Schizosaccharomyces pombe: one gene and its partners. The gene in region 3 interacts genetically with the main gene of each other region. Each region holds a gene or a part of one and is shown on either strand. Other genes may lie near its edges. The genes, in order: pfd5, cuf2, nur1 and eme1.

Region 1 (5,876 bases), on a different chromosome or scaffold from region 3:
AAAATAAAGAGTATAAATAACAAATTTACCAATCTGATAAATCACTCATCCTAATGATTGGTATAGGAATAGACAATAAATGCTCCTTTCATGTTAATTACTAGGTGAGCACAGACGGTAGGAAGTGCACGTAAGATGCTTAAACAACGTTCCACAAAACATTAGGAAATAGTACAGCATTTGGTAGTGGCCTTATCCTTCGTCGCTTTACCAGGCTTAAAATGCTGCTGCTGCTTTGTCTTCGAACTGACTGACGGATTTGCTTTAGGCGGAGCAACCGATACCATCATTGGTTCCGGTATATTATTTGCATAATTAGCAAATCTAAAGTTCAGTTAGCAACTTTTCAAACTTTGAGATCAAATCAAGCATTTTTTGTTTCACGTCATGAAATTTGCTGTAAAAACACTTACTCCTGTCTTGCTTGTTGAACCGATATTTTTTCATTCAATAAAGCCTCTGTTTCCATTTGTTTAAGGACCGATCAACTACAATTTCAATAAGTAATGCCTGTTAAGTAAAATTATAGCCTTGCCTGACCATTTCATCATACATATATGTAGGTGTGCTTCTAAGCGCACTAAGTATCGTTATTTGATTATGTTGTTTAACCTTATATTCCCTAATATAAAAAGAGGAAAAAAAATAGAATAGCAGTTTTCCAATTGTAAATTTGACACTACTCAAATGCCTTTCACTTTCAGGATTTTTTTATCTCTTTAGTTTGTTCTTTCCAAGTAGAATACGCATATATTACACTTCTCTTAACAAAATAATTGTTAATGCGAAAACATATAAACAATAAACTTGTGACAGATACAAAGATTTTGTCATTGGGAGGACAAAGTAGATACTTTATGTTGATTGGATTTTTAAAACGAAATTATGAATTCTGCTCGTAAATTTCTTTACTATCGTTGTCTTATTTTCTAAGTAAAGAAGTTACATAACCAAACTTCCTATAACTCGAAGTAGATTAGTAAATTCAACCACCTTAAGTTTCCTTTTTTTTTAAAAGAAAATTTATTATTTTTTATTTAGACTTCAACAATTCTTTGGCTATAGATTTGTTCGTTTATTTTTTAAATCTCAATTAGGAAATGCTTTAATTAGAGTTGAGCATTGTTTCAAGGGAATAGTTAAAAGATATTTGCAACAATTTTCATATTTTTTATTTTTATTATTGAATACATGGGGTTCTAATCTTGGTATCTCATATTAATAGTAAACTCATATCCTAACTTTAGATGCGATTTTGCTTGGAAATTTGGGGAAAGAAATAAAATCAATATGATATGTTTTTCTCGTTTCCGTAAAGTAGAACTAATTAACTACATACATCTTCGACTTGAAAAAATCACCATCTTATTATAGCTTTTATACATCTGGTACTCGTCACTGGCCTATAACCAGTTGGCCAATTCTATAACCTACAGTGTTCCGACTAGTTACGAGTTTTCTATTATGAGCTTAAATCTACTAGTCAATCAGGAAGAATTAAAGAGATATCTGGATGAATATGGTGGTAAGAGTTTTTCAATTGATGCATTTTTGCAAGTCATTCTTTTATTCACAGTTTCATAGTATGGTCCAAAATATTTCGCGCGCTGTTTGTCGCCCGTAATTCTAAGCCGTTAAGAAGTTTTTGTGTTCATTATGCCATTAAAGAATTGAAAGAAAAGACATATAATCTAGAGTTGTACCAGTCTCTATTCGAGGAGTTTCAAGATTGCTTCGAAAACGAGCAGCTGGACGTAGAATGGGTTGAAAGCGTTACTTTTCATAGGAAACAAAATCTAGAACAATTAAGAAGGGAACTAAAAGCCTATAAAAACAACTTAATACGAGAATCTATAAGAGTATGAGCTACAAGATAACTTTTTGCTTCACAGACTTTTTATTACATCCTTTGTTACAATTCTAACAACTTTAGGCGGCACAACTAGATTTAGCTTCTTTTTTTGCTGATGTGGGCCAGTTTGATAGTGCTTTAAGATCATATGCCAAAGTTCGCGAATATTGTACAAATGCTGGACAAATTGCTCATTTATCCTTAGAGTTAATGAGAATTTCTATTTGGATTGGTAATTATTCTCATGTACTAGCCTTCGGGTCTCGCGCCAAGTCTACTGTTAGTGCAGCCATGGAGCTAACTAGTCCTATTTATGCATACTGTGGATTGGCCAACTTTTGCTTGGGTGATTACGAAGAGGCCCTGGCTCATTTTTTAAAAGTTGAAACTGATACCTCTGATGGTATTATTACAAAAACTGACATTTCAGTGTATATCTCACTTTGTGCACTAGCGTGCTGGGATCATAAACGTCTGATTCAAGAGCTTGAAAGAAATGAAGAGTTCAATGCTTTGTCAGATTTAGACCCTTCCCTGAGACGTTGTTTGCAAGCGAAATGTAATCGCAAATATAGTCTTTTGCTTGATACATTACAGCAAAATGCTCAAGACTATTCTTTAGACATGTATCTGGCTCCTCAATTGACAAATTTATTTTCCCTTATTCGGGAGCGTTCACTTCTTGACTATTTAATTCCTTACAGTGCTTTGCCGTTCAGCAAAATTGCAGTTGATTTTCATATTGATGAGAACTTCATTGAGAAAAATTTATTAGAAATAATCGAAGCCAAAAAATTAAATGGCAAGGTGGACTCTCTTCAAAAGGTAAGTATAATAAATCTGCTATATTGGTCTAACTTTATAAGCGTGTTTATATCGAACCTTCTTCAGAGCCTGAAAACTTCGAGGACATAAAAAATATCGCGCAAACTAGTTTGCTTTACAGCAAGGCTCTTTACTTACAAACATTGGCGGCGATGAACACTGAAAATACTGACGACGAAGCTCCAGTTATCGCTCAAACGAACATTACCGCGGAAGATTCACAGAACTAACAAAAAGCATGCACATCATATAATTGGTTAATCCTTTACTTACTTTTTTTGAAATTTCATTAATTATTTAGCTTATGAAGATTTAGTTGCAGCTGTTGTAGCTGTTGCCTTTTGTTGCATAATGTTTTGAACGGCTACAGAGAATTAGCAAATTGTTGATAATAAGATAAAAATTGATCTGTACTGTAAATGCTCATACCTCTAATTTGAACTGATTTTGCGTCAATGGCATTGTTGAGGTTCTCGATACTGCTGGCGAGATATTCACATTTTCTTTTATAATATTCGGTAGCTTCTCCAGCGGACTAATGTCGTTAGGTTTAAAAATCTCTTATATATTAAAAATACCTTTTCAACGTAATAACCAGTCCCAATATCGACCAACAATTTACTGTTTCCTAAATTCAGCTTTCCAGGAACATACAAGCTTGAAGTCAAAGGTACCAAAACCTCCTTTCCTATTGACAATAGTTAGTGAAACATATGCAAAAAAAATTTCAGTTTGTCTATACCATCGTTCTCAGCCCGCACAGCATCGTTAACGTTTGCCAGGCATTCACGAAATTTCAATTGAGCACGTCCTAGTTGTCCATAGGAGGTCGATAGATACTCTAGCTCAGAATCTAACTGTTTTATAACTTCTGATAATTGCTCCAAGCTGAGAGAAGTCAAATCGACCGCTTTATTACCTTCAGCCATTATTACGCTTCTATTAGAACAGTCAAGATACGAAGGAACTGGTAGAAATTCCAACGCTGCACTGCATTAAATTACAGGTACATGGTAATCCATTTCAATATACAATCAGTTAGTTGGTTGAAACAATATTTGTTTTAAACAGTTATTCAGAATTATACCAAACAGTGAAAGTAGAATCGAATATGTTATTGAGCAGAGGGACGCTATAGAATATATCAATATAGATGATAGATTTTTCAATAATTAATAAATTATGAGCATGAAGATTAACAAAATTTGGGAAAATAATACTAGTTAGGATGCATTATAGTGCCATTGATTAGAAGTTTAAGTATAGCTTTTTAAGCATCATTTTTTTTGTATGGATCAAATTGAAGCAAATCTTTATCGTTTTCTACAACATCACCAACATCATCTTCGGTATCTGAAGAATTTGAAGGTGTTTTTTCAGTCGCCGTAGTTTCCGATGTGGTAATTTCAGAAGTAGTATTTTGATTGCTAGTACCATTTGCGGTACTTGGACGAGAAGCGGGTTTATGCCCACGAAATGTTTTACCAATCCTATTGGTATCAATTACCAAAGAATCCAATAAACCTCTCAAACCTCCGGTGGTTGATGATTTTTCTTGGACTGGAGCTAAAACGATAGAGTCGGCGAGTCCTCCAGAAAATAATTGCTCTAATAAACCAATTGATAAAACAACCATTCTAAAAGTGGGAAGACTAACTTTGATATCACTATTAGCACCAACAGAACGGTTTTCAGAACCAGTACTGCTCATATGGTCGCTTATATCAATCAACGTATCAGAATGACCATCAGGACTAGCTTCATCAGCAAAATGAAAGCAGCGTTGTATGAATTCGCTAACTGCGGATAGATACTCATCACCCATAAACCTAGTTAACCAAAGAATAGCTTCTGAAACCTTCAAAACGTCTGGTTTATCCATAAAACCATCTCCATTAAAGTCATAAAGCTCGAATATAAAAGATATATTGCGCATTACATCCCTAAATTTCAATTCTGCAATACCGGACACCAAATCCTGTAAAGATAATGATCCAGTCATGCTTTTGTCAAATCGTAAAAACAAATGACGAAGAAAGGATGATGAATTATTGATAGCCGCTGCATCCAAACCTTTCGCCCATTCAGTAACTCCTGCTAAAAATATACAAAATTCGTCAAATTCCAACCGTGTATCAGTAGAGCTGCCTAATCCAACTCGATGTTTGGACGACAATACTTCATGATAACGGTCGTAAATATTACTTAAATCCGTACGTGTTAATGTACCGTAATTTTGTAAACTCCTAATTTGTGTTCTCTTTGCAAATGACTCAATAGAATTCATAACTCCTTCGTAATGTTTTTTCCTTTCATCTTCAATTAAAGAGTGTGTTATATGGCTAAACTTCTTGAAAGCAGTTACCAATAAAAGTTGAAACTTCGTGATAGAGGCAACGCGTTTATCTGTTGCATCTTTATAAGCCTTATCTCCCAATGATGAAAAATAATTTTTTAAAATTGATATCAACATAGTGTCTTCTGTAGCCTTCATAATTTCAGCTTCGTTGTCATATAGGATAGCCATTCCAATTTGAAACAAAACCCTTGGACCCTCTAGAAAGAAAAAGTCTAACAACCTAAACGCATACGGTAAAGGCATTGTGCAAAGGAAAAGCGACAAAAACCACGGCAAAGAAATGATGCTAAGTTGAATGTCTTTGCTTACAAAATGCGCATGTAAGTTAGGCATTGAGCGTTGAACCAAACTTTCGTAAACTTGTTGATCAATTAGAGTGCCGTACATCGTCTTTGAGTAATAACCCGGAATGTAATCTTCACAAATCTTATGCATCAGAAAAAAGGTTTGTTCCTCGGTGCAATGAATTAAAAGAGCAGCTGCAACAATATTCATTGCCTGACAATAACCAACCTCTTGGTTTTTCCAAGAAAAGGCTACTAAAACATTTCGCAAAGCGTTGATACCTTCTTCATTTTGATAAGCAGGATATTCTGGAAGACTTCTACCTAAATCCTTTTCTATTTCCTCTAAAGAAAAAGATGTTTGACCAGAATACACTTTAAGAAGATGATCATATTCATCTGAATTCTCTAAACGAAAGTACATGGAGCCTGATGTAAGCTCCCATATTTCACCACGAAGTTTATTGGGCAATTCAATTCGGACCAATTTGGAGAAGAGAGAAACTCTGATTAACGAAAGATTTGCACCATAAAGTAAAAAATACTCTTTCCACAT
Region 2 (4,833 bases), 1.1 Mb from region 3:
ACCTTTACAAGTTGGCCCCACATTTTTCCTGCGAACTTATAAAATTATAGATAACCACGCCAAGTCTGGTTATATAAGCAATGATTTAGTCATGTGGAAAGAAGAGATGCCTGTTTGTATCGCCAAAATGTTTCGCATGCCTCCTCAACGGTTGAAGTCCAAGGATACGGTTCTAGCCTATGCTTTATCTTTAAAACAATCTTTTGATGATGATCGTTACCATGATGAAGATGAGACTCCTGTCACCAAAACCATTTCACTAAATGATGTGCGCACGCTTTTTTTTAGTTTGTCCGGTAAACTTCTTCGGTTAGATGATGTACAAACTCCCGTATTATTACTCAAGTATGCAGATGATGAAACAGAGTATTCTTCAAATACAGCACCTTCGAACTGGATAGCTTTAGAAGCACTTCCTTTGGTATCAATACCTAATGAATCATTAGACGAATCTGATGAACTTGCAGAATCTCTTAGTGATTCTGAAGCTGCTAGGCTACAGCTTTTAGGCATCAAAAAACAAGAATCCGTTGCAAAGAAAAAGTCTTCCTTTCCATCGACTATAAAAGATCAACCTAATTTAACTTTACTGGAGTATTTGATTAGATTATGCGCGCTCGAAAGTACTACCCAAGAATCAGTTTTACAATTACCTGACGAACAAATTGCATTGTATCTTAAAGATTATCAAGGAAGAGAGAGGCCCCGAGATCCGGCTTCATATAATGCCTTAGAAAATCGAAGTGAACTAAGCGCCAGTCCAGGTTCAGTATCCTCCTCCAGACATTCTGGAATTTTTGCGACACCAACGTTTCTGTCACCATGGAATATTAAAAACATACCTCTTGTTACCCCTGAAGTTTCAACACGTCAAACGAAAAATGTTGATGAAGAGGATTCAGCTTTATTGATGGCTAGCCCTTCTGTCCGGAAGTCCAATTTACTTCCTCAGGAGGACCTCATTTCAAAGGATTCTGTGATTAAATTAAAAGAAAACCCTTCTGTTATTCCTCATTCCGAGCCTGAATCATCGTCGAAAGTTATCAACTGCCAGGCTAAATTAAATGTGGAAAAAGAAAAGAAAAACCCGTGAAAACTTTATCAGAGTAATATTGACGCTATTCAATACACAACTATTCTAAATTTCACTTCCCATGGGAAATCCTTGAAATGGTGTTTGATCCCCAGTAAATTTGAATACATAGATTTCTCTAATGTTATATGCACCTTTTTAGACGACCAAAACATTCAAATTACTTCATCTTTTTATGATTGAATACTTTATGTGAGAGTACTTATACATATGATATGACAATAACCTTCATTTGTCGCTATTTGGAATAATAACGAAAGTTGTGAATTCAAGGGATTCCGGATATATCGTCTTTGGAATGTAAGTACTTTGCGAAATTGAAAATATCGGCCTCTTGGTTTATGGTAAAAGAATCGTTTTCTTTTTCATTCAATTGACTTGCATCAATGCGATTAGAAGCATCTGTTAGTGAAAGAGGTTTCCTATATCCTAATATATCTTCACTGATGGGTAGTGTTCTTCCTAAATCGAAGGTGTAGGCTTGACTTGCAGGATTTAAAGAAGAATTCATAATATCTTTGTCGGTTGAAAACAAAAAAAGGCTAGCCAATATTGGGTTTTTCTGAGTGAAATTTAATAACTCCTGATACTCATTGGCGAAGGGTAGAAAAGGCTGCAAATGACAAACGCATTTTAAATTACTCTTAAGTTGTTGTTTTATGGCTCTGCATTTTTTGCTGAATTTCAAGTTAATATTTTTTTTCTGATCAATGTGACATACCATAGTAACGGCCTTCCTCTAGTTCGAACTTCTATCAGTGCCCTTTCTTGATGCTGGCAGGATGAGCCTCGATGACCTCGAAGGCATACAACACTAGAGTAAGTGTTAAAAATTTTATCTTATAACCATACAAAAAGTCTTACCAAGCATAATTCTTACCGTCAATAATGATCATGATTGAAGGTATTTGTGATTAAGGGAAAAGAAGACAAGTAGGATTCGAGTAAATAAGCTAGTCGAGGAACGTTTTAAATAAATTCCTCTTATACGTTCTCTTCCTTTAGGTTGATAAATTGTAAATGACAGCTTTTTCCCAAATTCCTTTTTCCTCGTCTCTGCTTTAGCTTTCTGATCCAGAAGAATTGCACAACGGATATTAATAGAAGACAAGACGAACAGCTAAGTGTTTTAAAATAATATACTTTACTTTTAAATATTTCCAATGTTTGTTGTTTGTCAAAAGTTTGAGTGCTGGCATAAATTATTTATAAGCTCTAGCTATGGACATTTGTTTACATATTATGGGATAAACAAATACATCAACTTATTGACACTAACCAACAATAACATACAAAATAGGAAGGTATTAAATCACTATGTTCAATGTTTTTGAGCACAATTTCGTAGAAAAGATAATTTTGATTTAATGAGTGTGCAAACTGATCAAATTGTGATTTTTCCTCGAGGCGATTTCATTCTATGTTTTTATGATTGCGTCAATTCTCTAAGCAGTTTTGCGATTTTCTGCACTCTAAACTTGTTAAATAACTTTTGTTTGCAAAAGGTACCAGATGCTATAAAGACTGGATTTTGTTAATATACTACTTTATATTATAACATATATGATTTTCAGATTACAAAACAGCTTAAAAGTTTGCAACCTAAAGACATAATAACTTTTTTATTGATTGCTCATTTATTTTAATTGATTATTATTTTTCAGGGTTATATCGAGTTACTTTGTTTTAATGTCAGGTTTAAAAAAATAATTAAATGAAAGTAAATGTAAAATGAGGTAGGCTTGTCAGACCCTTCAAATTTTTTTAAAAAAAATTGAAATATTTCTTTCAGAAAGGTATGATTAAACTCACAATTTTTTTCGATTTCAAAAAATCTTTTAATCAATTTGAATATTTGCTACCTACAAATATTGTCACATAATAGAAATGTAGACGAAGTGATTTCATCAAATTAAGGAACGTTCAGTATTTTAAAAAAAGATATGTAAATTCTACAATTTGTGACGATTTGGAGATGCTACTATTTGAAATGTAAATGTATTTACATAAATGTATATTTGCTGCTAGATGCTGATATACTGGGTATAATGAACATAATTACAGCACAGTACTTAGATGCATTTAGCGCACTATGAATAAATCAGTAAATATTGAATACCTGTCAATTTTCTGGAGATAAAACTAACTAGCTAAACTAAAATCATATAATGGAGCTTCTAAAATCAAGTACGTTGCTGAAATCGAACACATCAATACGTGCGGTTCTTTACTCAAATTCACTTGACATTCTATTTCATGTTTTTCAGAATGCGAAAGATGATAATGTCTTTCTGATCAGATTGCTACAAGATGAGACTACTAAAAGTATTGAAATTTAGAAAACCTTATAAAAACAATAACTACCTTGCACACACATTTTCTTAATTTGATGAGAATAAAACTGCTAACCCCAACGGTCGTTATTTATCGTCTGGGTATCCGTAAATCTCTGTATACCTGTTCAAAGATATACAACGTCACATCTGTCAACTACATTCCATTATGTTGTTAAATCCCTTCAAATGTAAGCTACGCAGTTTGGTATCTGATTTAAGGATACGTAGAACTGCGGTGAGTTTTCCTTGTGATCTATTATATTACAATACACAGGTTGTATAAGTAGCAACTGAGTATAGGTATTGTATTAACTGAGTTATAATGTTACCTATCACTAATATAGCTTATAACTGAACTGAGGAACGAGGTTCAGCAGTAGCTCTATTTATATTATTCAGATAATATAGATCTTGATAGATTATCATTAAGATCAATCTCAATATCGTATCATACATGGTACTATATATAATTAGAACATGTGACATATAGTGATACGCAACGTAGTGTATTATAGCGTAGTGTAGTATTGCTGACATCAAACAATTCTTTAATTACAGTAAGAAAAAGCACCTCCATTATCCTTAATAAGAATAACGAGCTATTGAAAGAATACGTTGTTTATACCTTTAAATTAAGCGATTATGTCGCTTTAAAGTAGCAACAATTGGTGTGATACACAAGCGCAATCACGCAAGCAGTAGCTCTCCGAACTGGTTTATTTATTTGTTAAATTCTCAATTTTACTCTTTACCAAGTATACCTAAATATCCCAGTACTTTGCTTAGGTGTAAATTCCACGTTTGGTAGGAATTTTAGGCATTTGCAACTGAACATTTATATCTACAGTTTAACTAGAAAAAAATACACCAAAATTTTAAAACGTTTAACGGTTAATTTTTTTGGCGAAATTTTGAATCTAAAGCTGTATCTTAATTAAGAAACAGATTTCTAACTTTTTAGCGAATAAAAGCATACTTGTTTCTTTTTTTTTTTTTTTTTTGGAAAGCTCGTCAAAACGAAAAATTTTGGTTTGACACTTTTCTCCATACATTTGGATTTTTTGGTTTCTTTTTTGGGGTTCAACATTCCTTTTCATTAAATATTATTTAATTTTTTGAAACGTTTTGTTAATCAAAATTTTAAATTTCTTTAATTATTTTCTTCCGTTTAATCATTGATTTGTTGGTTCAAAATGGTTGCTACTGATTCTTCCGATCAAGTTGCGAAATTCGATGTTTCGCACAAAATCATTGAAGATATTGTTTATTCTCTTTCCAACCGTATCTTTTCTTACGCGGAACACGTTCCTTTGAACCGTTATTTGACTCAGTGGAACAACTCTGGTCGCAGAAACGGATTTTCCAACAATGTTGAACTTTTCAATTTGGAGGCTCGCTCTGGCG
Region 3 (5,787 bases):
CAGTCTCACAATCAACCTGCCTCTAATAACGAAGCTTCAGATACAAATGGACCGGCTTTGGTGCCTGTCCTTATCGTTTGTATGCGTAGCATTTCCGAGACTTCCGAGGATCATGCGCCAACTATGACTCAAGAAAATCAAAGCCTTCATAACGAGAGTAGAGAAAACATATCCATTAACGATATAACCGAAAGAATGGCTCAGTCCACTGAATTTTCCACTGATCTTCCTCCTACATTCGAGAGAAGCAATTCAACTTTTTCACATCCTGAACCTACAAGAAGTGACTTTAGCCAGGCTTTTACGCCGGTATCCGATTTCCCTGCAAATCTTTTTCCTGGTTCCAGAAATTTGTTTCCAACGTCCAACTCGGGTAATCAATCTACTTCTTCGTTTTCGCGCTACAATCAACCTACTGTTTCCGTGGATTTAAGGAATTCAAGTATACTAAGAAGAGCTCAAGAACCTGTAAATGGTTCAACTGGAGAAAATCACATTGGAGATGATTACATTTCTTCATTATTGGATAGTTCAAATTCCAATTCACAACGACCGTTTTCAACAGTGCCTTCTGAATCAAATGTTTTTTCGAGGAACGCCTCCGGCAATTTCTCGATGTCACAAACTCATCAGCCGACTACCGATAATACCTCCTCATTTTCCACACAGCCTGGAAGGTTATCTACAGGACTCCATCATTTTCCGTCTGATCGAGATTTACTGTCTAATCAAACTAGACGTTCTAGCTTAGCACGGAGCTATAGATTTGAGGAACAACTTTCTGTTGATGATAATACTAGCGACTTTAGTACGTTGGCTTCCAATGGGGCTGCCGACATGGTTACTCAAACGCATTCAGAGGGAACTTTCTCTAATAGCACCCATGGTGATTGGCTTATCTATGTGTTTGGTGGTCTGTTTCCAGAACATCATCCAGTTTTGTCTACAGTTAGCTTGTTTAGCGATAATCCCATGTATGAAGACTTGTTGGCTCTTACTACATACCTGGGTCCAGCGAAGAAACCAGTCGCTTCTCATGAAGATGTGAAACGATCGGGCGGACTTTTTGCATATTTCGATGATGCTTCACTTTCTAGTGCTGATTCTTGTCTAATATGTTTAGAAACTTATACTAACGGTGACATATGTCGCAAGTTGCAGGCTTGTAAACATTTTTTCCATCAGGCCTGCATCGATCAGTGGCTTACCACTGGTAATAATTCCTGCCCGTTATGTCGGGCTCATGGGGTTACGACACAAGCTGAAGAGGAAAATTAATTTTGACTTGAAATTAAAGCTGGCCTTATTCTATGTTTGTTCACTCTCATTTATTTTCCTTCATCCGTCAAATTTGTTGAATAATTGTTCGCACTATTTGCTTGTGAATGAAATCTACATAATAGCTCTTCCCATTTTTATGGCTGCTATAACCTAAAACTGCTTGACCTTGTTCAACTATCTCTTTGGGACTTTCTCATTTTTCTCATTTATGACCTTATTGATAAAATTTTTGTAATTTTCTACTTGCTGCACGGAAACGAATTGTTTTGTTGTGCGTCTTTTGTTAGAAATAACAATTGCCTTTTTTACAAAGCTGAGTTTTTTCTAAAAATCATTTTAGTTAATCGGTTTGCACGTTTAATATAATTTATTTTCCTTTTAGAAATTTTGCTTCGATTTTTACATATTAGTTTAGATACAAAATTGATGCACATTATCACTTTTAAATATATTTTCTAACAAACAAGAGTATTCATATTTATAATCATGTAAGGATTTTAATAAGAGATCATATTGAATAAGCTTAAATTATAAGGATTTGGTTCTAAGTCGATCATCGAAAGTTTTTAGAATGACGGTGTTTGATACCCTAATTAGTCTTCATGAATACAATTATTTCAGGTCTGAATTGAGTTATGACTTAAAACTTTTCGAAAATAGGAATTAACAGAAACAACAATGATAAATGGAAATGCAGTGGGTCATTCAAAAACCATGTAATTCAGACAAATATTAAAAGCGAGAACTACCATCACTAAGATGTGGAAATCTCTTAAATGGTGAGCTGCTGTCACGACTAATTCCGCTGTCATGAAGATGATGAACACTTCTTCTTTGAAGCGCTATAGGGGTACGGGGTGTTGAAGTGAGATGATCATGTGAAGAACTTCGGTGTTCAAGGAAGGTATCTATGGGTTTTCGGGGTGTGAAATATTCAATAGATGCGGTTGTGGGACCACGAGTAGTATTAATGGCAACATCTCGTTTAACTACCGAAAGTCGAGGTTCTACAAATTTCTTATCATACTCAAAGAATACCTGGCGATGAAGATATTGTTGATCTTTCAGCAGTAAGGAAAATTTATTGACAAAATGCAATGTTGTAAACGAAAGGAGAAAAGTCAACAAAGTCACGCGTAGAGAAGTGCTATAAAACCATAAAATCAAGGCATGAGCAGGAGAAAATAAGCAAGCAAAATTTAGTAAAAATTGATTTGGGCTCCATACTTTCAATTCAAAAACTTGTTCATCGCCATCATCATTATTTGAGTGCTGGAAAACTGGTTTTACATTGGGAGTAGAAGTCGTCGTGCGTTTGTCTTGAGGCAAAGTTCTATACAGCTTATTTTGAAATCGAGTGCTAAATATGAAATTGAGAAAGCTGATGAAAAGAAAACAAATTGAGAGAAATGATAGGAAGGCACGAAACCAGGACCTAGAGGTGTTGATGGACTGCTTATCCACAAAGAGCTGGTTGCGTTGAACTGGTACATGCGTACTTTTTATATAAATGCGCATTAAGAGAAAAATAAAATTGACAGCCAAGCTAAAGGGAATCGAATAACGATCTGATACTTTATCCCACTCTACACTGTCAAATTGTTCGCAAACATAGATAAAGTAATCGATCGGAAGATTGATTATTTTAGAAGTCAGCGATGTACGACGGATTAACTTTCCCATTGAAAAGATTTTTAAGCAATGTTTTGAAATTCAGGTGTACTTTTTGAGTATAAAACAACGCCGAATTAGAAATGAAACAAACCATGGACCTGAAAGGTAAATTCCGATATTCGTATACTAATGAACGAAATTAGGGCACTTCTCCGTTTCAGGATTCAAACCTTACGTATTAATTAGAGTAGCAAAGGCTTTTTAATTAGCTAGGTCGAGCTTGCTATTATCGACTTCAATTGCAACAATGAAGGATAAAAAGTTTTTTATTAAGATAACTTTTTAAATCCGGTACGTAAACAAGTGTGCAATAAAAAAGAAAAAAAAAAGAATTTGCTTTCGCAGGTTGATGTTCCTAAGTATTGGTGTTATTGATGGTTTCAACTTTACCACTACTACTGCTGTGCAAAATCAGTCGTCGATTTAAAATTCCTATTTTTAGGAAATATAAGCTCGATCAGTGACATAAATTTAAACAGTTTCGTTTGACGTTTTACTAATTAATGAATTATTTCCTTAAAATTTAACGGCTGAAGTTTTTTTTGACTTATGTTTATTGTCTCTTATTAATAGTGATGCATGTGGTTTAACTTTTTATTTAATAATTTATTTTCATGTTATGTTTCAGATTTAAATTTTTTAAATCTTTATTTCACGGTTGAAATCAAAAGTAGTTAATATAGCTCATAATATTCAGCAAACAAACTACTCGCCATTCTTGCGCAGTTGATACTGACCTCTTTTTCAAAGGACTTTTTAATAATCATCATCACAGCCATTGTTAGAATTTTGCTTTCTTGTTGGAGAGATTGCTTGAAATAATAATTCTTTAACTAAGAATATATCAGATGTGGCTGTGATTACAACTTTTTATTCAATTTATCGTTATTGATATTATTTGAACCAGCGGTTAAACAAGCATTATCCTAAAGTTGATTCAATTCACATAAACTCTTTGCTCAATGCCACCCAAACGCAAAGCATCCAAGAACTCTGTTCGCGGAAGGAAACGTAGGACACGGACCAATAACTTACCTCTTAATCCTGAAGTGAAAGAGGAAACTGTTGTATCTTCAACTCACCGTCAAACTCGTAGCCAGTCGAAAAAGCCAAGTTTGTCTTCCTCAGCGGAACCTCCTTCTGAGAGTTTAGATGACAATATATCAGCGTTAAACTCACTTCAAAGGAGCGCATCTTCATCCGAAAAAGGTTCCGATGAAGACAATGAGAAGTTAGGCAGCTCAGAAGATGACGAGTTTGACGACGATTTTGACACTTGGGAACAAGTTGATCTTTCTCCTAATAAACAAGAAGATAAAAAAGATTTACACATAGTCACACAGCATATCACTCCTCAACTTACAAAAGAATCGAAGAAAGGCTCTTCTAGTGCAATGGATAAAAGCATTCGATTATCTATTCACATTATGCACTTTACTTGCTTGTTGTACCATGGGTCAGTAAGGAATCGCTGGTTAATGAATTCCTTACTTCTTGATGGGCTGCGCGATTTGCTTGTCGAAAAGCAACCGTCCGTAGTGGAGGCGTGGGTTTGTAGTAGCCAGACGCACGAGGATTTGTTAAAATTGTTAAATGGGCTTCGGATGTGGTGGAATAAATCTTTTAAAATTGAGAGTCATGGGCTTCGGAAGTTGGGGTATCGTACTTTGAAACAAGGATTTGATATCGGCTTTTCGCCAGAAATATTTCATAACTTTCATGAATACCAAGCATCCTTACTTTCGCTAAAAGGAAGCCGGGATTTGGCGGCACAGGGATTTACTGCTCTCTGTCGATCTCTGAATCTGAAAGCAAGACTTATATTTTCTCTTCAACCTTTGACATTTTCTACTGCTTCCTATGATGATTGGTCTCCACATATCCTCCCTGAAGAAACTAGTACATCTATAGATGACGACCTCCGCTATCCTATTTTTTGGACGGAAATCTATGATCAAAGTGAGAAGAAATGGATTGCGGTAGATGCGGTTGTCTTGAATGGGGTATATACCAACGATATGACTTGGTTTGAACCCAAAGGAGCGTATGCAGAGTCAAAACATCTACGAATGGGTATTGTTGCTGCATATGATAACGATTTATACGCAAAAGATGTAACTTTGAGGTATACAGATTACCAATCAAGTAGGCTTAAGAAAATTCGACACGTTTCTTTTGCAGATAAGTATTTTGATTTTTATAAGGCTATTTTTGGGCAACTAGCAAAGCGCAATAAAGATGCAGAGGATATATATGAAGAGAAAGAACTGGAAAGTAAAGTGCCCATTCGCGAACCTAAAAGCTTTGCAGATTTTAAGAATCATCCTGAATTTGTATTGATTAGACATCTTAGAAGAGAAGAAGCATTGCTTCCTAACGCCAAGCCTGTGAAGACAGCAACCTTTGGTAACGGTAAGAAAGCTACCTCTGAGGAAGTGTATCTCCGAAAAGATGTGGTCATATGCAAAACGCCTGAAAATTATCACAAAGAAGGACGAGTAATTAAGGAAGGAGAACAACCTCGAAAAATGGTGAAGGCGAGAGCCGTCACAATTAGCAGGAAGCGTGAACACGAATTTCGGGTTGCTGAAACAAATGAACCAGTGCTTCAGGGTCTATATTCTTCCGATCAAACTGAGCTATATGTTCCGCCTCCAATCAAAGATGGTATTATTCCTAAGAACGGTTATGGTAATATGGATTGTTTTGTTGAGAGCATGATCCCCAAGGGCGCAGCACATTTGCCATATCGAGGAATTGCTAAAATTGCCAAGAAACTCAACATTGATTATGCGGATGCAGTTACAGGGTTTGAATTTCGTAAACATCGTG
Region 4 (7,970 bases), on a different chromosome or scaffold from region 3:
AGTAAACAGAGAAACGCAGCAAGAGAAGAGAAAAAAGGAAGAGAAAGAAAAAATGAAAGAGAAGAAAAAAAGTAAATTGAAGAAAAGCATTGTATAATAACATTTAAAATGGGAGAAAAAGAAAGATCAATAGAATAGAATAGTATAGAAATGCAGTAATGAATGACAAGAAACCAGGGAGCATCAGACATGTTCAGTAAATAATTCCAATAAAAGATAAGTAAAAGAAATTTGTCTGAGTGCAAAAGAATATTTCAAGATGTTGTAAGAAGGATTATTTTGTTTATTTTGTTTTTGTTTTATTTTATTTTCTTTTTCTTTTTCTTTTTGTTTTTCTCTTTCTCCTTCTCTTTCTTCTTTTCTTTTCATCGCTTCCTCTCATCTAAAACTTTGATCCGACTGATAGCTTGGAATCCATCGTATTGCATTACACCACACTATACAACGCTATATCCTTCGATGGATTATCTGGTCTTAGTCTTAGTCTTAGTCTTTATCCTAGTTATTGGTGCCTGCCCTAGCCCAGACAGAGATTTGAAGAATGGGGGTTAGGATCCTTGATGCCCCCAGTAGACAAAGAGCAGTATAGCAATGACAATGACAATAGCGATAACAATAAAATAGCGATAGTTTAGTAAAGAACTGTTAAATAGTAATAGTAATAGCAAATACAATTTCTATTTGAATCGCTGTCTTTGTCTACATTCGTTTTTTGCTCATGTTCCTTCATCTCCTGTGTTCATGCTTCCGTACGAAAAGACCTGCAACGCTTCCGGCCCATCGGACGCTGCATTTTACTTTTTTAGATGGAGCTCTGATCGTCCATCTCTCCCATTCCTCCCGGCTACTAAACCCGGAGTTAAGATAAAGGTGCGCCTGCTATCCGAAGAAAATAAACTCTGCGTAACCGAAGCAACAATGGTCGTGGTAGCAAAAGGAGTATAGGGTGAAAAGAGAAAAAGATAAAAGAGAGAAGAGAGGAGAGGCGAGAAAGGAAACAAGAATTATAATTAAAAAAAAAAAAAAAAGAAAAAAAGAGATTTTCTCTTAAGAATCAAAACATACTGAATGCAATTGTTTTGCCGAATACTACGATTTTTGACGTATTGCACTTTTTTTGGCTTATTGCTGGATCAACATGTATAAGAGTCTATTTAAAGGATTTCCGTTGTAAAAATACAACTTATCACACTCACACGTTGACACTAAGAGAAAAAAGCTATAGCGAACAATGATACACACACATATACATACGCTGTTGCTATTCACATACGCTGCCTTGATACACACTGTCTTGACTATAAGGAAAAAAGGTTTGGCTTGGTCACAAGTAAAATGTAGCGATGACTTTCGTACTCTACTAATGATTGTTTAGTGAAGAATGATAAAAGATAGTAGTGTGTATTGATTATACTTGTATAATGCAGTTGAATTTACTATGAATAATTTGGAAATTTCGCACAACTCGTTGGTCCTCTTAAAAAAGGAGAAATTTCAGTTTGCGAATATTGGTTTCTCTCTCTCTTTACTTTGCTTTGCTTTGATCTGCTCTACTATACTCTACACCCTTGCCTTTCTGCTTTCTTTGTTTGGTTGCAAAATTCACAGATCGCAATGAAAAAATGTTTTAAACTGCGAACTAATAAGTAGAATTGATTTTGCAATGAAAAGTAAAATTAAATTAAATAGAAAAAGAAAATTTTAAAAAGAGACAAAGAAGAGTAAGGAAAAAAAAGCCCCCCCCCCCCCCCCCCCGAAAAAAAAAGAAAAACAATGTATTCATGGTAAAAACAAAAAAAGTTTTTACTCATCATTCATTGTATCGTTGATCAATTAAAGAATACAAAAAAAAAGTAAGCATAAACCCATTTGGAAACATTGCATCAAAGGATTTTTCATTTTCATTTTCATTTTTATTTTGTTTTATTTTATTTTATTTTATTTTTTTGTTTACCATCATTGATGAAACAGACTAATGAAAAAGAAACTCTAGTACATTTTTATTTTTATTTTTATACTATTGAGCTTTAAATATTAGAGTATTTTATTCTATTGAATTTGAATTGAATTTATTTTAATTTTGGTTAAATTAATTGATTTTCTTTTCTTTGAAATTTTTATTTTATTCAATCTTTTTACACTTTCTAACGTACTACCAAAGTCCCTAAATACCGTATCGCCCTTCTACCTAAAATTCTTTCAAAATGACACACTAAACCACAGTATTTGCAAAAGAAATACTCACCCATCCCACTCATTGATTTCAATAATCTTCAATTCTCAAACACAAAACGACATCCTTTCAACTACTTCTAAAAGAATAAATATTTTCCTTTTTTTATACTATTCATCTTATCTAAACTCCTCCTGCATCCATTTCTCTTCTCCATTTTTTACCCATCTCTCACCTAACCTATATATACTTATATGTAAACAAACCTACTACTCTCTATACTTTCCATACCAAATATCCTCAAACATCCACGCAAACCTCCAATCTTTTTAATTATTCAAACTCTTTAATACCATTCCTATCTAAATTTTTTACTTCAAACTTTTTTTTTTTTTTCTCATTTCTTTTCGCTCTATTTCTGTCACCAACTCTCGTTCCCTGCCGGCTCCTTGTGTACACTTTGCCCTACCTGTCCTAACCACCAAACCCTCTATTGTTCGGAAAACAAACACTACACATGCATTGAATGACTCTGCAGTCTACAGATTCCGCTATTGTGATCGATTCTGAAGCTGATGTTGACATTTCAAGCTCACAAGCTTCTCCTTCCAAGGTTTGTCGCGTATTTCCCTTTCTTTCTGTTCGCTTTTTTTTTAACCCTCTTTTTAGGACAATATTGCTTTGTCAGAACACAATGTTATAACTGTTCTTGATACTCCTCAAAGATCTACTCAATGCGATAGTTTGCTAAAAAGTTTCAGGTAAGTTGACAAATATTGTTGCCAGCATTTCCTTCCTTTCCACACTTTTCTTCCACATCTCGCTAATCGTTCATTTGGGGTCAGTACTCCTTTAGTTTCCGGCTCCGAAGATGTTCTCCCTAGTCCCCGTGATGCCCTTAATATCACTAATAAAAAGTCGGTTACCGATAATCTTTTGCTCTCTTTAACTTCTTCAAACCAGTCAACAAACACGAATTTAAATCCTTCTTCACGCGTCGAAATCATTAATTTAAACTCTTCTCCCCCTAATTCCCTTTCCTCGCAACCAAAACACCAAGAATTTCATTTATTCCATACTCCCACCATTCCTAGGACTACACAATTGTCATCGAAAACCTCCTCTCCCATCGTTATTCCCGACGACAATGAACAAGTGGCTTCCCCTTTATCTAAAAAAGCTGCTTCTTTGACTTCTTCACCCTTAAAAGATTTCCAGTCCTCCCCGCCGCTCTCCACAGTCCTTCAAAAATCCCACTCCCTTCACGATATACTACTGGACACGAATGATGACGATCATTTCCCATTTACCCAGAGTCCGCTAACAAAAACAAAATCTTTCAACGATGCACTAACATCCTCATCCTCTATACTAAAGCCATGCATGCCATCCATCGCTAGTCCTACTTCTAATCGATTATCACATGCCCCTTCTACGCCTAATTTATTTCCTAACCAAGACAGCTCCAATACAATCGACCTCATCAATAACCGTTCCAAAACCTCCGTAGAAAATCAAGAAAGAACTTTCAATCTCACATCTGATGTGCACTTAGATAGCCCGACCTCTCCATCCAAGCATTCTTCAATTGAACCCAATACTAGTCAGGAAGATAGTTTTCAAGAACTTCCTTCTCTAAACAAACTTTCCATTCAAAGTAGAGCTTTTAAAAAAATGAGACTACCCAAAATTTCAAGGACTACCGATACGCCTCCTGCCTCTACTTCAAATTCAAATAAAAAAAATTTGGATAAATTAAAAAAAATGAGAAAATTATGCTCTAGGAGCTTGGAACCGTACGAGCTAGACTCTAATACACAACGTAAGAGGAAACGTTACGAAGATTCTTTGAAAAAATCAAAAACTTTAGATAAGGTTGACAGCTTGAATAGAAAGATGGCGAAAGAATTGGACAGAAAGAATTCAAAGGAACTTCAAAAAATTAACAAAGTTAAGAGAACCAAAGAAGAATGCCTATCTGAGATAATTCTTTTATCGCCGGATGATTGGGCTTCATCTTGGTATTCAACTGTTCGCTCTCAATTAGATTCATACAACTGCCAATTCGTTGTCAATTCAAATCAACCAAAAGACTCAATTATGTGGAAAAGGAAGGTAAACAATGTGTTTAATTCTTCTACCAACCGGTTTGAACTTAGCATAGAGCATGAACAAATCGAACCTTTTGCCCTACTACGGTTGAAATGCCGGGATTTTATAAAATACATCGAAGAGGACCAAGCTGATACTTTTTTTCATGAAATGTCTGAAAAGTTTAAAGGCTGTAAGCTAATACTGTTGCTGGAAGGCATCCCAAACTATTTTAAATCTCTGAAAGCAGAATTAAATCGTCAATATGCAGCAGCTGTTAATAGCGGTACCAGACCTTTGTTATTTGGTTCTTTATCAAAATATCAAAACTTTACTAAAGAAAAGTTAGAGAGTGAAATCGTCCGCTTCAGTTTCGAACATAGTATTCTTATAAACACTTCAAATGACGAAAAAGAAACCGCTCAATGGATAGTTTCCTTTACCGGCGACATAGCTTTATCTCGTTACAAGCACTTTTCTAAATTTTCAGCTAGAGCCTCTACTACCGAAATAGGACATGTCAAATCCGCCGATAGAATTGAAAACTCTCTAAATTTTATGTTGCGGCAAATACTACGAGTTACACCTAACATTGCTAACGCCATATGCGATCAATTTGACAGTATACCATCTTTAATTCATCATCTAAAAACTCACGGCGAGGAATCATTAACCAACGTTGTCATCCAATCTAGTATTAGTGAACGAAATTTAGGTCCGGTTTTATCGCGCCGTATATATAACACTTTCTTATGTAAAGAAGCATCCAGTGATGCACCATAGTGATCGGTCATTATTTGTATTTCATTAATTGTTATCATGATATTTTTTCCTTTTTTTTTCTATCTATGAAATTTTCTTATGATATACTTTCTTCTAACTAAAAATTAACTAATATCGGTTTCTAACTAAAGCACCTCATCTTCTATATCGTCGGTAGTATTCGTTCAAACTTTCTAGATCAATCAGATTCCAAACTTTCATCGTACTGGTTCAAGGCACGTCTAATGGCTAACACATTGTCTACAATGACAGCATCAACTCCAAAACGTACTTGGCGTCGGACATTGTCAACATCATTATTGAGAACACCATAGGTGTAGCAAGATAAACCCAATTGTTTAACTGCCTTGATCAGCCTCGGGCACATAATGAGCGGTTCACAAGCACTAACGATACCCAGAAAACTCCACTGTGAGGCAAACTTTAAAGCTTGTCTAAGCGATGCTGCACGAACGTCTGTTCGGTAAGCGGTACCTCCTTCAGTCAAAAAAAGAACAGGATTAGTCGATTTCAAAGAAAGTAAGATGCATATATCAGGATTAAAACTAGAGAAAATATACTTTCTTTTACCACCATACTTTTTGATTATCGATAGAATGGTATCCACGTAAAAGTTATAATCATAAGCTATAGGGAGCAATTTCTCTTCCTCAGCTTCACTTAGCATGGGGTACTTAAATTCCACATTAAGTCCTACGGATTGTGGAACTTCCTTCAAAACATCCTTTAAAGTTGTGAACGGTGCACAAATCGTATGACCAAGGGCATTACCCTTATATACTTTAGGCTTCAAACGTGCGTTTTCTTCAGCAAATTCACCGAAATTAACCTGTGATCCTGAAGGTGTAAATGAGGAACTGTAGGCCCTAGGACGTCTCTTCTGCTGAATGTCACTTGCATCATCTTTAATTTCTTCTGAAGGAGAGTGGGAAGCCCCTAAGAATTGCTCCAAAGTCAGCGAATGCACTTGTGCATCCGTTCCGGTTTCGTTTACGATAAAATCATGGTATACCACTGGGACCATGTCTTTAGTCATTTGCACATCTAATTCAACGTAAGAAGCACCAAGATCTGCCGCTTTTATAAACGATTGTAAAGTGTTCTCGCCAAGTTGAAGACTCAAACGATCAGGCTGATTCTTACCAAGTCCACGATGTCCGATAACCGCAACACCATTCGATTTCCCTGATTCTGATGTAGTTGTGGCAGATTTGTGTAAAGAACGCTCAGCGTCTTCCAATGCAGTGCGACTTACGTTGGAAACTGCTTCCAGCGATAAGGCAGGGGTACTTATGCCATCATTTGACGAAAATCTATCATCAACTGTCACCTTAGAAATAAGAACATCCGCATTAACATGAGCTATTGGTTTAAGAGTTTTACTCGAAAGTAATGGTAAGGGTGCCAAAGGTTTCAACGACTGCATATGATTCCCCAAATCAGATACCAGAGAAGTCAAGCAACATACAGTTCTCCCTAATATTTTATGGGATCGATTTGCTAACAAATCAATTGTAATAGTTGCTTCTTCTGTATTTCTTGTAACGAAAACCAATTCATACGGTGGAGAAGACCCGTTTACAGGTTGCGGACTATTTTCTTGTGCGGCATCATAATGCAAATGAATAGAGTCGTCGGCAATTTCATCAGGCTCCGCCAAATTCTCTAAGCAAACTTCACCGGCATTATCAAAATGGGAGCGAGGGATATCAATAATCACTGAGTTGTTTTGGCTAGAAGATGGTGTCATAGAGCCATTAGAAGCAGTAGTGTCGTTTTTACTCAACGAGTCAGTAGATTGAGACATGAAATCTACTGAAGATGGTCTACTTGCGGCAAAAGATGGAGACCGCCCTGAAACATACACAGCATCATCACCTTGAAGACTAACGCGGATTCTACCGGCCAAATCACTGATTCGAATAATGACCACTGAACGAGATAATTGTAAATCCATGGCACGTTTTCTGCTCCTCATTTCGGAACTTGAGGCTTTGATATAAAGTGTATGTAAATTAACAGGCTTATCACTCAAGGCGACTTGAGTTCTAAGTTTATCTGCTAGGTGTAAATACCCCCGAACCACAGCTTGTTCCATAGCAGTCCAACCTGAAGAATCAACTTCGTCAACCGAAGCGCCCGAGGCAACTAAAATTGAAACAATTTCGGAAAGTCCAGTAGCTGATGCAAGCATCAAAGGAGTCCATGAATTCAAAAAATCCCTTGCGCTAGGGTTTGCTCCAAGTTTGAGTAACATTTTAACACATTCCGGCCTGTTATAACGAACAGCGGTGTGTAAAGCTGTATTGCTACTAGCATCAACTTCGTTAGGATTGAATCCTGCAAGGATGAGTTCTTCTACGATCAAATCGTAATCGCCTACACAGCAAGTCAAGACCAAAGGAGGAACGGGTCCCGGCTTGGTAGAGGTTGTTTCCTTATCCTGAGCAGAAAGCAAAGCATGAAGAGCTTCAACATGATTTCCCTTAATAGCCAAAGTCAAGGGAGTGTCGTGCATTACATCGCGCCAACATGGAAGCATCCAATTCAATGGCTCAGAGTCAGGGATTGATGAAACAATTTCACAAAACTTACTGCACAATCCTGCCCAACCGAGTTTCGCAACAGAGTGCATCACACTCTGTCCCTTGCTATTTCGTTCTACAAGAAGAATCCTTGAAAGTAAACGATTAGAATGGTATGAATCCACATAAACCACTGAACAAATTTGTTTCAACACCTCCAAAAAATATAAAACTCCTTCGTCAGGACCACAGAGGTTGTTAATTGCACGACGTAATGCAGAAGCCAGGCACTCAGAACGTAAACCAATTCTTCCTATAACTTCACGCATACAAGCTTTGGCTCCCGCAATGATGGAGGCAGCCAGTATATCTACGAGTACACTATCAGGTGCATTTAT

Evidence for each region.
Region 1: mutations in nur1 (region 3) and pfd5 together harm fitness less than expected from each alone (positive genetic interaction), as found in Schizosaccharomyces pombe (2 studies listed by BioGRID).
Region 2: mutations in nur1 (region 3) and cuf2 together harm fitness more than expected from each alone (negative genetic interaction), as found in Schizosaccharomyces pombe (2 studies listed by BioGRID).
Region 4: mutations in nur1 (region 3) and eme1 together harm fitness more than expected from each alone (negative genetic interaction), as found in Schizosaccharomyces pombe (2 studies listed by BioGRID).

Annotation. Positions count from the first base shown.
Region 1 is NC_003423.3:4,025,148-4,031,023, reverse strand, and holds pfd5 (prefoldin subunit 5), read right to left. Parts: upstream 3,619-5,876; 5' UTR 3,607-3,618; coding exon 3,420-3,606; exon of another isoform or gene 3,366-3,419; coding exon 3,256-3,365; exon of another isoform or gene 3,213-3,255; coding exon 3,107-3,212; exon of another isoform or gene 3,042-3,106; coding exon 2,980-3,041; 3' UTR 2,908-2,979; coding exon of another isoform or gene 2,719-2,907; 3' UTR 2,678-2,718; coding exon of another isoform or gene 1,934-2,677; 3' UTR 1,881-1,933; downstream 1-1,880. Other genes in the region: heterotrimeric G protein gamma subunit Git11, read right to left, coding at 162-324, 414-469; COP9/signalosome complex subunit Csn1, read left to right, coding at 1,465-1,525, 1,585-1,859, 1,934-2,677, 2,719-2,907; SPOM_SPBC215.01 (GTPase-activating protein), read right to left, coding at 3,948-5,876. UniProt on the Schizosaccharomyces pombe protein: Binds specifically to cytosolic chaperonin (c-CPN) and transfers target proteins to it. Binds to nascent polypeptide chain and promotes folding in an environment in which there are many competing pathways for nonnative proteins.
Region 2 is NC_003421.2:1,529,282-1,534,114, reverse strand, and holds cuf2 (Cu metalloregulatory transcription factor Cuf2), read right to left. Parts: upstream 1,990-4,833; coding exon 1,958-1,989; exon of another isoform or gene 1,908-1,957; coding exon 1,815-1,907; exon of another isoform or gene 1,771-1,814; coding exon 1,362-1,770; downstream 1-1,361. Other genes in the region: SPOM_SPCC584.03C (GTPase regulator), read left to right, coding at 1-1,093; met10 (sulfite reductase NADPH flavoprotein subunit), read left to right, coding at 4,623-4,833.
Region 3 is NC_003421.2:448,452-454,238, forward strand, and holds nur1 (protein nur1), read right to left. Parts: upstream 3,313-5,787; 5' UTR 2,965-3,312; coding exon 2,014-2,964; 3' UTR 1,758-2,013; downstream 1-1,757. Other genes in the region: SPOM_SPCC4G3.12C (ubiquitin-protein ligase E3), read left to right, coding at 1-1,278; DNA repair protein Rhp42, read left to right, coding at 3,918-5,787. UniProt on the Schizosaccharomyces pombe protein: Has a role in meiosis.
Region 4 is NC_003424.3:3,294,597-3,302,566, reverse strand, and holds eme1 (Holliday junction resolvase subunit Eme1), read left to right. Parts: upstream 1-2,653; 5' UTR 2,654-2,699; coding exon 2,700-2,786; exon of another isoform or gene 2,787-2,842; coding exon 2,843-2,934; exon of another isoform or gene 2,935-3,018; coding exon 3,019-5,047; 3' UTR 5,048-5,225; downstream 5,226-7,970. Other genes in the region: glycerophosphoryl diester phosphodiesterase Gde1, read right to left, coding at 5,226-7,970. UniProt on the Schizosaccharomyces pombe protein: Interacts with mus81 to form a DNA structure-specific endonuclease with substrate preference for branched DNA structures with a 5'-end at the branch nick. Typical substrates include 3'-flap structures, D-loops, replication forks and nicked Holliday junctions.